Linked DNA regions of Drosophila melanogaster. The protein of the gene in region 1 purifies or fractionates together with the protein of each later gene. This does not show direct contact. Each region holds a gene or a part of one and is shown in the gene's direction. Other genes may lie near its edges.

Region 1 (3,424 bases):
TATAATGATCTTAAGGACCACAAGTAGTTAAGTAGATCCCATTGGATCCGACTAACATATGTAGAACAGGGAATGCGGCACTTGTTTTTTTGTTTTTTAACTAATTTCCATGAACCCATGGCCAAAGCCATGTGCCACTCGCGTTTTTTCGGTCACAAAATCAAACACGCATCGCTATTTTCACTTTAAAAAAAAGATTTTATTTAGTTTTTCTTCTTCATTGTACCGAAGAACCCTTAACGCGCACTATAGACAGTCGGAGTATCTGGATGCATTCTAGGCCTTGACGGCGAACTTCCTCTGGGGGAAGACGGAGCGCTTGCGGATCTCCTTGAGGGTCTTGCGGTTGGCGTCGCGCGGAGACAGGGCCTTGCGGATAGCGCGGGTCTTCTTCTTGCGCAGATCCAGGGGCTTGTACTTCTTGTTCTTGAAGACCTTGCGCAGATTCTCCTTCTGCTTCTGGTGCATCACAATGTAGACGCGAGCGATGGCCTTGCGGACAACGCGGCTGTATGGATAAGAACGCACATAAATGCACAAAACACCGGAATTAGTTCGTGACGCTTGTCGTTGTGCCGCGGCATACTCACATCTTGGAGAGCTTGGAGGGAGCTCCGCCGGTCACCTTGGCCACGCGCAGGCTGAGCAACTCATTCTTGAGCTCATCCAATTGCTTGGTGAGTTCCTTCTTGTCCTTGATCCTCAGCTCGGAGCACTTAACCTTCACCTGGACGGGAGCACAAACAAACGGGCAGAAAACAAGAACATTAGTATCGCTGCACTGCAAATGGCATGTTCATTGGCCCTTGGGCTGAGAGCATCGGGTGTCGATGGGTGTAACCAACCAACCATTTTTCTAGCTCTGCTCTTTAACACTCAGCACAGAACAAAAAAACCAACGAATTTTCCGTATTCACTAAACCAGCAAATTAAGAAATTCAGCACGTGGCTTAACGCAACCTCTCCGGAAACGCGGCGAAAAGAAAAGGAAAGAAGAAGAAGCAGAGGTGCTAGGGGTGAGCACAAAATAGTGTGCTAGCGTTGCGCGTCTCAACTAGCGTGGTACTGCATTATTAATCGCATTTTGTGTTAACACCATGAACGGCAGTAATTTGGGGCGCGTTTTAGCCATTACTTTGGCTTTTAATTGTTCGTTTCGTTGTAAAATAGGTTAGAAATCTTTTCGCTCACAAAATACCAACCATTTTTCTCGCTGGTCACGTCAAAAAAGAAAGATGGGACTTGGAGGAAAGAACTAGTTGGTGGTGGCACTATTGTAACTTCGAGCGTCGAACCAGTGGCAACGCTGATATCGAACCGGTTCCGAGTCCGTCATTAAAATAGATAAATCAAATTACTACGATTGCAAAAATATTCAATCACAATATTTACTTTTTTATTTTGCTAATGCCAATGAAAAGCTAAATAATACCATTTTAGAGAGCTATAAAATTAAGACATTACGCGTTTCGGAATTATTTTTCGAGGAAAATTATTTCTTATATAATTTAAACGTTTATATAAAATAATTATAACACCAACTATTTTGAGCGCAGAAGGAATCCTAAATTTATGATATTTTATAATTATTTTTTATAATTAATTTTTTTTTTTTAATTAATTTTTATACAACAATATAAGGAACGCACTGTTACCTATGTGGCAACAAAATTTGATCTGCTTAACGTGTTTTAGTTTTCATTGCGCGTTTATTATGGTAGTAACAACAGAATTATTTTTTTAAATATAGTTAGTCCTCCTAAGTCAAGACCCGATCGGTTTTGTTAAAAGGGTGGAATTAAATTATTTTAAGAAGCTAAATGTGTGTGCAAAAAAGTAGCCAGATTACGGCCACAGGTCACCACTAGATCGAAGTGGCGGTCTGGCAAGGCTGCTGTTACAGTGGTCCATCTCTATCGTGAGAATGTAAACAAAGCAGCAAGGTGGCAACGCCGCACTCACTTACTCCAGATAATCTACATAAATAATACAATTGGCAATATTCTTATCGTTTTAAGTAAATAACAGTAGTGATAAGCATTAAGCGGAGCTCAAACCACACAATGGCTGATCGGGCTATCAAGCTGCTGGTGATCGGGGAAAGCGGCGTGGGCAAGTCCAGGTGCAGTCCCAAGTCCATGGAGCAATTCCACTGCGTATATTACCAAAAGCTTGCATCACTCATCAACTTTCATTATCATTTCATCATAGTTTGATACGTCGCTTCGTGGAGAACAAGTTCGACCAGAACCATGACGTCACGATTGGCATGGACTTCAAGAGCAAAGTGATGCAGGTGGACGGCATAGACTACAAGGTGGCCCTGTGGGATACGGCGGGCGCCGAGAGATTCCGCAGCCTGACGCCCAGTTTCTATCGGAAGGCTCTGGGCGCCATTCTAGTGTACGACATCACCAGCAGGGACAGCCTGGTCAAGCTGGAAACCTGGCTGGCTGAACTGGATAGCTACAGCGACAATCCCAACATTGCCATCATTGTGGTAGGCAACAAGATCGACGAGGAGCGAGTTGTGGATCGCGAGGAGGGTCGAAAGTTTGCCAGGAAGCACAGGGCGCTCTTCATCGAGACCTCAGCCAAATGCGATCAGTTCGTCAGCGATGTGTTCAAAGATGTGGTGGAGAAGGTGAGCTAGCTACCAACCAAATACTTGGCATTCGTGTTTCCAATTATCCACATCCGCTTTGCAGATCGTCTCCTCCGAATACTTCAACAATGGCAATGCCTCCGCCGGTCTGGACATCGCCAGCGATCGGGATCTGGAGGCAAGCGCGTCTACGTGTTACTGTTGATTTCGAATGTTATGCGTGCTTTTGTCAAATTTATATCGTGTATTTATTTAATCGTTTCAATATCACTAGCATAAAGTCAATCAACCTTAACGTTCAATCGTGTACTCCAATCTGAGCAGGGCTATCGATTCACTTAGCTTGCAGGGTTTGCAGATCAGTCAGAATCCTTTTTAAATTCTATCCTTCTAATATTCCTGTACGGCTTATTGTCCATCTGCTTGCATTTCGTCTGCGACCAGTCAAAAGTCAAGTTCAGCATTTTCTTTTCATTATTTTATTGACATGATGATAGTTTTCCATTTGCGTTCACAAACGCAACAAATAAAGTGGAGAATTGGATTAGTGACCAACTGAAATGTACATGGGCTATGCGATTTTTTTTATTTCTATTGCATCTGGTGGTGTAAATTTATAAGTGAGTTCGGTTTATATTTACAATTATCGATGATTAATATTTATTAATTAACGCTAACAAGGTGGATTTAGAAATCAATGAAGCTGTTCTTCACGATTGGCTCGCTCGCTATTCATCAATTTCTTGTAAATCCCTTGCACGCGACGGATGCTTAGAAAACAAAGCTGGACATTTGGCCGCAACAATTCCCGGAGCACGC
Region 2 (3,362 bases), 620 kb from region 1:
TATATCGACGTCCAGGTGTAAGAGGTCTGCATCGATAATACCCGTTGATTTCTTGCTGTCCTCCTCGTCCTCCTCGAAGCTAGCCTCCACCTCTAGGCTGGTCTTGGACTCCACCTTGACAACCGACGGCTGTTCGCTGGCCTGCGCATTCGATTCTGTATTGGGATTCTCCGTATCCACTTCGCCATTCACTTTATCGGCGGGAGTGTTCGTCTCGGTCCTTTTCTCTTCAGGACTGGGATCGCTGTCGCTATCGCCATCTATGGCCGTCTCCAAGGTTCCGAATTCCCTCTGAATCTCACGGAATTTGGCGTGAGCCGTGCGCAAGGCCTCCAGATCCTTGAGCAGCGATTCGGTGACCGACTCACGGGATATCTCCTCGACTTCGGTGGGCAGGTTATTGCGCCGCTTTACCCGATCGTAGCGCAACGTTTGGCGCATGGAGGGCAACAGCGGCGGCGGATGATCGTAGTGGTAGCGCACAATGGCTGGCACCTCGATGTGGGCGCGAGCACGCAGATTTCTCTTGGTGCGAAAGGGCGGATTGCGCGTGTTGACACGCCGGAAGAACTCAAGCTTGACATTTTCATGGTCAAGTGGCTGGTGGAAGCGATTCCAGAGACGCACCCGCTCCGTGGCCGAAATGCTATTGGTCATATTGGCATCCTGTGAACAGACATCCTCATTAGAACCCAAGCAGACCTCCATGTGCGTTGGCTGACTTACGATAAAATTCTCGGCATGATTGGGGCACATCCACAATCCAGCTGGCAGTGCCGTCAGTGGCGGATCCAGGCAATCCTGGTGAAAGTAGAGCGGACAGTAGTCGCAGGAGATGAGCGGCGCCCGTTTGCAGGAGCGCGTGCAGTAGAAACAGGTTTTGGCGGGCAGCGGCACCAGTCCCTGGGCATCCAGCTCAAACGGCTTGGAGTTGCGTCGCTGATTGCCGGCGCATCTGCGATTACCGCCATTTCCGCTCGGCGGATGCGTCTGCTGTACGGGTTGCACCTTGCCATTGCCCGGGAACTGGGTGTGCAGCTCGAGCTCCGGCGGCAGCGAGAATTGCTGCGGATTCATCATGGTGGCCGCCCTGATGACATCGTCCAGCGGCGTTGGCTTCTTGTTCGGATCGAGGGCGCGCTGTATGGACATCGGCATTTTGGCCAGCAGCTTCTCGGTGCTATTGCGTTCGCTGTTGCTGCGTTTGCGCAGGTTGCGGATCTTCAGCGGTATGGACTCCAGATCGCCAGACGATGGAGTATTCGCCCGTGAGCCACTGCCCGCCGAAGGCACACGCTCCACGGAACTGGCCTTGGATGAGGAGGCCGGCGGCTGGGAGAGCTTGCTCATGCGACAGCTGTGGCACAGCCACTGGCCACTGGGTATGTCCTCCTCGCTCAACGGTGGATCACTGTGGCGAAAGCACGAAATCAGCACTCAAAATGAGCAGCTATATGCGCGTGTATATACTCACTGGCATTGCAGGTGGAAGCTGGAGGGGCATCGATCGCAGCACAGCAGATTGCCGCCCTCCTCGCAGGCGTCACAATAGTCGTGGTTGTGGCCCCTGCCCGGGCGCCTGTAGTACGGATGCTTCGTGTTGGTGGACCGCTGCATCATCTTCTCGTCCTCGTTGGGCGGCGGGCGGATGAGCTGCTTGATTTGCTGCGCGAAGTAGTAAAGTTATGTTAAATGTGGGAAATGGAGACAGTTGTGAATGCGTTAATGTGGCAGCTCTAGAGTAGCCACCGCCGATTGGAATTGGAGCTCCGGGCAGTGGACACACTGAAGCTCTGAATGGCGTCCCGGCGGCACACTCACCTCCATGATGCTCAGTGAGGCGTTCGGGTCCTGGTCCAATTTTGACATCTTTTTCGCTCGCTCCTCTTATCCGGTGTACACAATCAATCTCGGAGCGACTTCACTTGGCGACGGAGGCGGGCGCAGTGTCGGTTGTCCAGCCCTGCGCATCCGACGAGCGAATGGCCACACTGCGCGCCCACCGATAGGCGATTAACGGAAATTCAGTGCAGACTGCATTTCACTCCAAATCTAACTACTTGCAATTAATAAAGTTTATATTGGGTATACACATTCGTAACCGAAAAATACCCAAGCAAACAAATAGTTAAAAATTAAATACCCAAAATTCTCATATTTCGCTCAGACCTCACTATAGACACCTATATGTTTACATCTTTTGGGCACACCACTAGCTAGCACTCGCTGTTTTGGACCAACGCCCGCTAAAAGAGCATCACAGCTGGCGGACGACGCAATTTGCCAGTTGATTTTACCAAACAATAGAACAAAATAGTGCAATGTTTTCGATATTTGGCAAACGCAAGCCCGCGGAAACGCCCACGGATGACCAGCCCATCCAGGGACCGGCGGAGGCAACCCGTCCAGGCACCAGTGTCGATGATTTCGTGTTCATAGAGCGCAAACCAGTACCGGATGCTCCTCATCCGGGTGTTCCAGCCGGCTCCATGTATCCACCTATGCCGCCAGCGGGCTATCTGCCCTATCCGCCGATGCCAGGACCGCGCAGCGATCAAGTGAAGCAGCCCGGAGCCCAAGGACCCGTCAATTACTTGCAGGACATTCCATTCGAGCTGGCACCCGGATTGGCCAACAAGGATCGCTACACCAGCACCCAAATGCAGGTGGACAGCATATTGGCGCTACTAACGCGCCAATTGTCCGTGGACGAGCTGGCCGAGGAGTACACCTTCGCCCTGGAGCGATCCGTGCAGAACGAGTGTTACTAGCTTTAGATCCATAGATCCACTGGTTAATATTCATACATTACATTACATTACATATAATAAAACGTTGCTTATTTAATTGTAAACCACATATGCAGTGCTCTTTTGCTTGTTAGTGGTGTGAGTCATTGGAATTCCTTAATCTTGTTGCCATACAATTAATGTTCCATTTCTTTGAAAACATGTAGAACTTTTCTGACTATCAAGTAGTCCTTTGGTTTTACCTCGCTCACATTTCAACTGGGACTGCTCATAAGGTGATCCACTATCGCAGCGTGAATACATAAAATTGTTAGTGCTCCCGTTTACCCAAATTTTTCGTACACAAAAAAGATTTCGAAACATTATTTTGTGTTTATAAGTAACCAAGTTCAAAGCTAAATTTCCAATACGTACAAATTTACCAAGCCGAGACGAGCCGTTCCGTTTCGTTTCGTTTAGTTCAGTTCCGTGTAGTACTCTTCAGCCATGGCCAGCTCCAATGTCTCGGATTGGGATGAGCCGATGCCCACGTCGACGGAGTCGCTGCCCGAGGAGGAGGATCCGGATGTGTGCGCAGAGGAGAACGTAAAGAAGCGGCGGGAGGAGGAACTG
Region 3 (3,724 bases), on another chromosome or scaffold:
ACAAGTTTTTATTCAAGTTCAAATATTTTTGAATCTGTTTAGTGAACTTACTTTTTTATATTCTTGATGGCAAATTATTGGAGGCATGTTAGTAACCAAAAGTATATTAAACATTTCCGGATTTGGATTTGGAAACGGGAATGTTTCGCCACAAAACGTGCATCACAACTAATGGCAAACTCGATACAACTTTGGAATATCCCTTTGATAGGATTATCTAAAAACGTGATAAGCTCGGTCATTGAAAATACTGACTGCCGCTCAGAAAACCCCATGACTGATAATTGTGCACAGCTAGAGCCGTATCATCATCAAACTGGTTTGGACAACTCTCGTAATAATACCCTTAACTGCGCCATGGAACCGTCAGTCTGTCGATTGGAACCCATTTAGAATGTTCGGAGCGCATCAGAATCTCTCAATTCAGCTGGTGATTTTTCTCTCCTTAGCCGTCACCATTTGCTTGGGATCCCAAAATGCCACAAGCTGCGGGCATCGCTGTGGAGGAGGCGACTGTATCCAACTGGACCAGCTGTGCGATGGGAGCGCCAACTGCTTGGATGGTTCCGATGAGACGGTCGCCATGTGTGAGAAGGTCTGGTGTCCGGGTTATGCATTTCGCTGCAGCTACGGTGCGTGCATAGCCAGCACAGCGGTTTGCGATGGCGTCCAGGACTGCGTGGATGGTTCGGATGAGCAGGGTTGGCTGTGCCGGGCGCAGATGCAGCAGGCTAACTGCGACAACTGGGAAATGTACTGCTCCTCTGGCCAATGCATGACCTATTCCAAATTGTGTGATGGCATCCGTGACTGCCGAGATGGAGACGATGAGCTGGAGTCCCTTTGCGAGGGCGTTACCATACCAACGACTACAGTCAGTTCAACGACAAGTACAACTACGGAAAGTAGTATCCATAGGATAACTCCCACTGTTCCTGTAACAAGGAAGGCGTCACGACCAAATCCTCTTCAGGAGAACGGGGAGTGCGTGGTTCCCCAACTGCCAAACGTTATGGTTAAGCACTTCACAGATGCAATCCTCACTGTAGGATCAAGGGTAGCCAATGGCACCCGTATCTACTACGACTGCCCGGCGGAGCACAGACTGAAAGGCGAGAACCAGAACATTTGCCAGGACGCATTGTGGGCTAGGAAGTTTCCTTACTGTGAAAGTAAGTTGTGTATTTATCAAAAGTTTCTTCATTAATACTAATTTATTTACTTTTAGCACCCCAAGCGTATGTTTTCAGCTTGGTTATAGTAATATTCTGCTTCCTAATCGTGGTATTGGTGTTTCTAATTTGGCGGGTGCGTCGAGAAAATGGCTCAAGAAGGCAACGAGAGGAGCACATTTGGCTGGTGGAGACCAGCAGTAATCTTCCCCAGACATCTTCAATACCAAAGGTCTAGGAATTAATTTTTACAAAGCTAAACATGTGATCACGCATACTTACTTATTTACCAGCCAAGTTGTTGATAAAAAGTACTGTTAATTTCAAACTATCTAGGCTTATCTTATGTAAATAATGTTATTTCAAGTTCTCCATAAAAATTAAAAGCTTAAATACGAATGTATATTTATTTTTAGAGTAAAACGTGAGAAGTAGTATTATATTGTAAATATATTAAAACAGATTTAAGAACATAATAATTGTGTTATTAGGTTGCACATTTTAATTTCGGCTGTTAACAATACTTTTGCGTTAACAGCTGTAATGCTAGAACCACTTGTTGCTGCGACCCAAACTGTGACTGAAACAGTGACTGGAAATAGTGGCATTTCTGGTGGGAGCGAACGCGGTCACACCTGCCCCACTAGTGCGCCAATATTGCTCCAGTGCTTCGCAGCGTAAGTATCCCAAGTTCTAGAGTGGCTCCATGCCAGATACCGCCACAGATTAGATAACGAATTGCACTTGCAGCCGGCTCAGAGTTCCTTCAATTGAAAATGGCCAACATTGCTAAGATCTTCGCTAGCCGCGCCCAGTGCGTCCTGCAGGCAGCCGCCCGTCAGCCACAGGTGGCCACCCGTTTCAGCAGCTCCTGTAAGTAGATGGTTGATTGCGAGGGATCAAAGTCCACGCGATTGATGCCCAGCTCCAACCTAAGCCGGAATATCAAGATATCAAGTGCCGCCGGTTTCTTGGCGACATCTTTTGTACTTTTCCAGGCAAATAAACATTGATTGCGTAACATTCGCGCACATACGATCACCTCATTTATGATGCCATCTCTTTTCAGCCACCAACAACAACTGGGAGTACATCAAGACCGAAGTGGCCGGCGAGGGCAAGAACGTAGGCGTGATCACCCTGAACCGCCCCAAGGCCCTGAATGCCCTCTGCAATGGCCTGATGAAGGAGCTGTCCACCGCATTGCAGCAATTCAGCAAGGATAAGACCATCTCCGCCATCGTTTTGACGGGCAGCGAGAAGGCCTTCGCCGCTGGCGCTGATATTAAGGAGATGGTGGGCAACACCTACTCGCAGTGCATCCAGGGCAACTTCTTGAACGACTGGACAGAGGTGGCCCGCACCCAGAAGCCCATCATTGCTGCCGTGAATGGTTACGCCTTGGGCGGTGGCTGTGAGCTGGCCATGATGTGCGACATCATATATGCCGGTGACAAGGCCAAGTTTGGTCAGCCTGAAATTGCCCTGGGCACCATTCCCGGTGCCGGTGGCACCCAGCGTCTGACCCGCGTCGTTGGCAAGTCCAAGGCCATGGAAATGTGCCTCACCGGCAATATGATCGGCGCCCAGGAGGCTGAGAAGCTGGGTCTGGCCAGCAAGGTGGTGCCCGCCGACCAGTTATTGGGCGAGGCCGTCAAGCTGGGCGAGAAGATCGGCACCCACTCCAATCTGATCGTGCAGCTGTGCAAGGAGGCGGTTAACACGGCTTACGAGACCACTCTCCAAGAGGGCCTGAAGTTCGAGCGTCGCACCTTCCATGCCACGTTCTCCACGGTTAGTTCAAGTTTAAATATCTGCTTAACACTATTTAATCTCTTGTATTTTCTTTCATCCAATAGGCCGATCGCAAGGAGGGCATGACCGCTTTCGCCGAGAAGCGCCCTGCCAAGTTTACCAACGAGTAAATACTACCCTAATCAATCCCAGCCAGCTTTGCATTTATATTATCTAAAAGAAAAACTGTTGTTTCTACGCAATTAAAACTTTAATCGTGATAATTTGAAAATGAACAATTTACCATAATTTGTCATTAGTATATGAGGTATGCTAGTCCGCATGTCAGGTGGTAATCCATTAGTATAAACATGGTATGGCCACTTGACAGTCGGCTTGCTAGCCCGATTATCCTCCTATTTCTAATCGAAACAAAATAAGTGCTTAGGTGACTTCCATGGTTGTGTCTTGTTGCTTTCGAGTTTGGAAGGCATGTTTTTTGGAAAATTGTGCGCTGTGTAGCGTTGCCTTCGTGAAGAATATTCAATCTCATGGAAATCTATACCTCCCCGTATCCTTCTCGAGCCATGTGGATTTTTATAGTGCCTGGAGGCATCGGAGTCATCGCAACAACGAGCTAAATGTCGATAATTTCGTGACCGTGAGTAGTTCTTATCCCTGTGCATGGGACAATGTTCTGTAAATCGGAAACGATTCCCCTTTGGTTCAATCACACAGGGATCACTTAGTTCGGTGGTAAACTCGTAGTTTCGATATGTAACCAATCCTCGACGTATGCCCGGATTTTGTGACTCAGT
Region 4 (5,710 bases), 3.5 Mb from region 1:
CCATTTTCCGTGGCCTGTACAAACCGATTTCCCAAACAAACATTATACAATTACCCTCAAAAGGGGATCCATTCTGATGTCCCAAGGGGTGTACACGTAATCCCACCCCTAAGATCATTAGGGGTGTGAACGAGCGTAGGAATTGAAAATGGCAGGGGGAGCCAAATAGGACTATTTGCCGTTTCAATTGTCTTCTAATCATGTCCTCTTTATGTATTCTATTAAACCGCAATAACTCCATTTTCAAAATATGCCTATATTTTTGTCACCGTCTGTAAATTTGCAAACGATTTTCAAACAGAGATGTGTGGTTGCGCTTGCCATTGTTTTAATTGCAATATATATAATGCAGCACTTGGCGTTATTTTATAATTTCCATGCGTGGGTAGAGTCCGTTTTACTTGGCAGAAGTTCTAAATTTAATGGATCCACACCTTGATACTCAGAAGTATTGAAGAAAAATCCTAAGAAACTGTCATAATAACTGAACTAAATTACTGGTTTTAGGAAAATTTTACTGGTAAGGAAAATGAAAGTGTTTACTAATCCTAAACAGAACAATAGACATTTAACTTAATACCTTTCGGTATGGAGACACACAAATTAATCAAAACATACCCAACATGAGATACAAAATTAAATATTGAACTCCATGATTGTAAGCTATAAATTTTAAGTTATTAGCAATCGTTATTGGGACTTTATCGATACCCAAGAAGCAATTATTGGAGTCAACTCACGAGTTGCGAAACAGGTACAAGTGTATGAGAATGTTATCTTCTCCATTTTTCTTTGGGTACAATAACAAAGTTGATTGAATTGTAGAAGTCGCTGCTAATTGGCAGTACAAAATGCCGACGGAAGATCGAAGCGAATAAAAAATGGGCGCACCACCGGAAAAGGTTTTTTATGGGGTGCAAAAGAGATAGCACCATTGTGCCGCCTGCGGAGAAGAATAGGACAGAGACAAGCTAAATGTTTAGTGGTTCAGTGGGCGTGGCTAACGCATGTGTGGTGAATTAAAGTGGCTGTATAACAGTTGTTATGCGAGGTGATATCCGTACTGGTTTTGATTACAAGTTTGCAATTTTAGGAATAAACGGTATAAAAATATGTATTAAATATGCTTAAATTTAAAACTAATTCTAGCGGTTTATATAATCTCTTTATATAAAAGATGTTAAGACTTTCATTTCTACACAGTGAATTTGCAATGCAGCTAGCTATATTTTGAAAAGCAACTAAGGCATAAATAAAACACAGAAGTAATAATAATAGTAAATGGTAATTGTTGATAACAAATTCCAATAGGTAAACAGAGATTTATCAATTTGATTTCCCAAAGCATTAAGATTTTGTTTGCGGTTATTAGAAGTAATTGAATTATAGAAAAAACATCCCAAAAAACAAAAAATTTTGTATTAGTATATTGTGTTATTTCCCGTTCACGAATCCATAAAGAAGTGGTAAACAGAAACAGTAAAACACAAATCGATCCCCAATATGAACTGTTGAAATTTCTACAACGCCGCTGTGGTGTGCTCACTCACTCGCTTTCGCTCTGAAAGCTCAGTTCGCTCTCTCTCCTGGGGAGCTTTCGCTCCGTGATCATTTTGAATTCTTTGATGGAGGGGGGGGGGGGGGTGTTTGGCGCCTATCGTATCTCTTAACTAACGCTAATCTGCCCCTGTTTTGCGTTTCGAATTTTAGTTGCGGTTTGTTGTGATTCCGGGTTGGACGCTGCTCTGAAGGACATCACTGACTTATGGATGAAAGGAGTAGCCGGACCTCGACGTGACCCCCATCCATCCGTACATAAACATTGTAAGTTCAGTTGGTGTTCCGATCAACATGCTTTTGAGTGCTTCTGCGTTAGTTTCTCTTTCGGTTTTTCAATTTTCCATTGAGAGATTCTGGCGCGTGAGGCTCTCCCATTCCCGGTTACTTGTCGTGTGTTAGTGAATGAGGATCCTAATTAATCCCTTTAGTAACTGCAGTGACACATCTGATATTCGTTTCACAACCGGTTTATATATGTATGCAGATGCTGATATTGTTTTCGCGCTTATCAGCTACCTGTTAACCCAGTGTTTCTGTTTGTCTCGCTTGTTTACAGACAACACGCGTTCGCACCCGCCCCCACACACACACATACACAAAAGCTCGAATTTTTTGACGTAATGAAACAAAACGACAAAAATACAGAGCAAGAGAGAGCGAGTGAGAATAAACATAGATCTCAATAATGATTACGAGGGATGGGCACTGCTATTAACCCGCTAAAAGACTATATTCATATATGCATTATACTTAAAGTATTTATATTAAGTACTTAACTTAAATATGTAAGAGATAGACAGAAGGAGGTGTTATAAATACTCCTGTGAAAATTAACAAATTGCGTATGTGCAGCTCCAGATTATATAACAATTGCAATAGTGAATTTAATGCCTACTGGTCTTAAATATGTACATAACATGAAATATTGTTCGTTGCAAAATACAAATACATTTTTGCACGAAGGCTAATCCACCGTAACCGGGTGGTGCAAATCCTCCAGGCATATCTATCCATGCATATACCCGTACCCGTATCCGTATCCGAATCCGAATCTGTATCTCTTCCAATCTGGCCCCGAGCCAAATTGCTTTATGACCGTTTCTGTGTAGGGATCTATCTACCTGCCGGCAATAATCTGTGTGGACTCATAAAGATCTTGACTCCACGGACCGTGGATTGCACTTTTCAAACCAGACCAAATCTAGACCGTGCTGCGGTGTGCGTGTGTGCGAGTGTGTGTGTGCGTGGTCCATAATAAATATGCTAATTTCGCATGCACGCGCAGAGTCGGAGGGGCTGATAACGTCGCCATATATAGTGATATACCTAGAGCCCGAGAGGTCTAGTGGAAAAGTTCGGTTTCCTGGTGTCCCTGCTATCAGTGCGATACGGCCCGTGGTGAGGAGAAGATTGCGTCCACACCCCCCTCGAGTGGATGAATGTTGGTGTGATAACGTGATAAGCATCCTAGTGCTCCGGGGAAGTCCGGCAGTCTGCCATTGTGTCTAAACAAAGAGAGTCGGCTTATCGAGCCGTTCCATAATAATAATAACTTCGCTTTTTATGCATCCTAACGCTTAATATAAAGTAACGAATTTTGTATGGCCCAAAGGTATTCCACAGTGTACTCATCCCATTGCCCATTTCAGAGACATATAACAGTTGCGGCATATAACAGATAAACTCGAAGCCCTTTCCGCAACCATCCTCCACGATGAGATTCCAACAGCTCCTGCATGTGCGCAGATTGGCCAGCGCCGGGGCCACCACCTTGATGAGGCGGCCTATCACCACCACCACCATCACCACCACCAGTCGCACCGCCCTGGCAGCCACCTACCCCGCTTTCGCAACCACTGTGCGCACAATGGCGGGCAGCGGGGCTCCGATCCCGGAGCTCACAGAGGTAGGTGTTCCTGTGGCGAGTTGTCCGCAGCGGAGATGCAACTGATGCAACCCACATTTCAGATCACCGACAACGTGCAGCGCGGCAACTACGCCACTCTGACCGACAAGGATGTGGCGCATTTCGAGCAGCTCCTGGGCAAGAACTTCGTGCTCACTGAGGACCTGGAGGGATACAACATCTGCTTCCTTAAGAGGATTCGAGGTAGGTTGTGTAACCAAATTCATTCACATTCGTGTGCCCTTTAATGAATTTCTCCGATGAATTGCTTCAACCAGGCAACAGCAAGTTGGTGCTTAAGCCCGGAAGCACGGCGGAGGTGGCCGCCATCCTGAAGTACTGCAACGAGCGTCGTTTGGCGGTGGTGCCGCAGGGCGGGAACACAGGTCTAGTGGGCGGATCCGTGCCGATCTGCGACGAGATTGTCCTTTCTCTAGCGCGCCTGAACAAGGTGTTATCCGTGGACGAGGTCACCGGCATTGCTGTCGTGGAGGCGGGCTGCATCCTGGAGAACTTCGATCAGAGGGCCAGAGAGGTGGGCTTGACGGTGCCACTGGACCTGGGCGCCAAGGCCAGTTGCCACATCGGGGGCAATGTGTCCACAAACGCGGGCGGAGTGCGGGTGGTGCGTTACGGCAATCTGCACGGCTCTGTTTTGGGCGTGGAGGCGGTGCTGGCCACCGGTCAGGTGCTGGACCTTATGTCCAACTTCAAGAAGGACAACACCGGCTACCACATGAAGCACTTGTTCATAGGATCCGAGGGCACTCTGGGCGTGGTCACGAAGCTTTCGATGCTCTGCCCCCATTCCTCGCGAGCGGTGAACGTGGCCTTCATCGGCCTGAACTCCTTCGACGATGTGCTGAAGACTTTTGTCAGTGCCAAGCGTAATCTGGGCGAGATTCTAAGCTCCTGCGAGCTGATTGACGAGCGGGCCTTGAACACCGCCCTCGAGCAGTTCAAGTTCCTGAAGTGAGTTGCGCCACCTTTGTCTTCTCTGAGCGTTACCAATCCTGTTCACAAACTTATTTCCCATAGCTCCCCCATTTCGGGATTTCCCTTCTACATGCTCATCGAGACCTCGGGCAGCAACGGTGACCACGACGAGGAGAAGATCAACCAGTTCATTGGGGACGGTATGGAGCGTGGCGAGATCCAGGATGGCACCGTAACCGGTGATCCCGGCAAGGTGCAGGAGATCTGGAAGATCCGCGAAATGGTGCCGCTGGGTCTGATCGAGAAGAGCTTCTGCTTCAAGTACGACATCTCGCTGCCTCTGCGGGACTTCTACAACATTGTGGACGTGATGCGAGAGAGGTGCGGTCCCCTGGCCACAGTTGTCTGCGGATACGGCCATCTGGGGGACTCTAATCTGCACCTGAACGTCTCCTGCGAGGAGTTTAACGGCGAGATCTACAAGCGGGTCGAACCCTTCGTCTACGAGTACACCTCCAAGCTGAAGGGCAGCATTAGTGCGGAGCACGGCATTGGCTTCCTGAAGAAGGACTACCTGCACTACTCCAAGGACCCGGTGGCCATTGGCTACATGCGCGAGATGAAGAAGCTGCTGGACCCCAACAGCATCCTCAATCCCTATAAGGTGCTTAACTGAAGGCTTCTACCTAATAGATTCTATTTTTTTTGTTTGTGTGTAATTTTCATAACCTTATAATACAGAAATGGCATTAGAAGTGAATTTTGTTAACTTGTGAAGTTAAAAAGGACCATCATATTTGGCACGAAACCAATGGGCAAAACTTACTTATAAAATAGTCCGAAAAAATAGTATATACCAGTTTTTACAGTACCACATTATAGGTACTCGGAGGTAATAATAGAAAAAACACTATCTTTGCATTTACTGTTACACTACGAAGCACTATATTTAGTAGCAGTACTCATTAGAGTCCACTCACAAAATTAGCACCAACCGGCAGTAATTGGTCAAGGATCGGCGATAGCTTCAAACTCCGAAGTTCAAAGTCAAACTGCCGCCCTGCGAAAGCTTCGCGAGTGGAGCTTTTCTGCACTTATCGATAGCTAACATTGTGGCGCGACTATCGATCGACGAGCTGCCGCTTAACAGTGCCATATATAGATTGTAACATTAGAAGCTCAAATCATTGTTGGAGCACAAACCACAAAGAACACACGAAACATGAGCGGGTGAGTAGAGGGAAATTCTCTTTTCCCCGGAGTTTTCCGCGATCCTAACGTCGCCCATTTCCGGATTTCTTCCAGACA

What was found.
Region 2: the proteins of Rab18 (region 1) and CG15891 purify together in Drosophila melanogaster (affinity purification with mass spectrometry, with the first as the bait; one large-scale study listed by BioGRID). This does not show direct contact.
Region 3: the proteins of Rab18 (region 1) and Echs1 purify together in Drosophila melanogaster (affinity purification with mass spectrometry, with the first as the bait; one large-scale study listed by BioGRID). This does not show direct contact.
Region 4: the proteins of Rab18 (region 1) and D2hgdh purify together in Drosophila melanogaster (affinity purification with mass spectrometry, with the first as the bait; one large-scale study listed by BioGRID). This does not show direct contact.

Annotation. Positions count from the first base shown.
Region 1 is NC_004354.4:5,670,301-5,673,724, reverse strand, and holds Rab18 (Rab18), read left to right. Parts: upstream 1-1,912; 5' UTR 1,913-2,063; coding exon 2,064-2,122; intron 2,123-2,211; coding exon 2,212-2,644; intron 2,645-2,708; coding exon 2,709-2,810; 3' UTR 2,811-2,898; downstream 2,899-3,424. Other genes in the region: RpL35 (ribosomal protein L35), read right to left, coding at 277-508, 591-727, 1,203-1,205.
Region 2 is NC_004354.4:6,294,013-6,297,374, reverse strand, and holds CG15891 (uncharacterized protein), read left to right. Parts: upstream 1-2,029; 5' UTR 2,030-2,321; coding exon 2,322-2,771; 3' UTR 2,772-2,858; downstream 2,859-3,362. Other genes in the region: CG3815 (uncharacterized protein), read right to left, coding at 1-666, 727-1,411, 1,475-1,665, 1,822-1,869; CG15892 (uncharacterized protein), read left to right, coding at 3,237-3,362.
Region 3 is NT_033778.4:13,852,423-13,856,146, reverse strand, and holds Echs1 (Enoyl-CoA hydratase, short chain 1), read left to right. Parts: upstream 1-1,815; 5' UTR 1,816-1,948; coding exon 1,949-2,045; intron 2,046-2,241; coding exon 2,242-2,966; intron 2,967-3,031; coding exon 3,032-3,097; 3' UTR 3,098-3,200; downstream 3,201-3,724. Other genes in the region: CG6553 (uncharacterized protein), read left to right, coding at 395-1,172, 1,229-1,410; CG30485 (uncharacterized protein), read right to left, coding at 3,329-3,724.
Region 4 is NC_004354.4:2,139,783-2,145,492, forward strand, and holds D2hgdh (D-2-hydroxyglutaric acid dehydrogenase), read left to right. Parts: upstream 1-1,706; 5' UTR 1,707-1,824; intron 1,825-2,116; 5' UTR 2,117-2,220; intron 2,221-2,904; exon of another isoform or gene 2,905-3,147; intron 3,148-3,209; 5' UTR 3,210-3,274; coding exon 3,275-3,466; intron 3,467-3,528; coding exon 3,529-3,670; intron 3,671-3,744; coding exon 3,745-4,438; intron 4,439-4,504; coding exon 4,505-5,078; 3' UTR 5,079-5,155; downstream 5,156-5,710. Other genes in the region: Pgd (phosphogluconate dehydrogenase), read left to right, coding at 5,625-5,632, 5,708-5,710.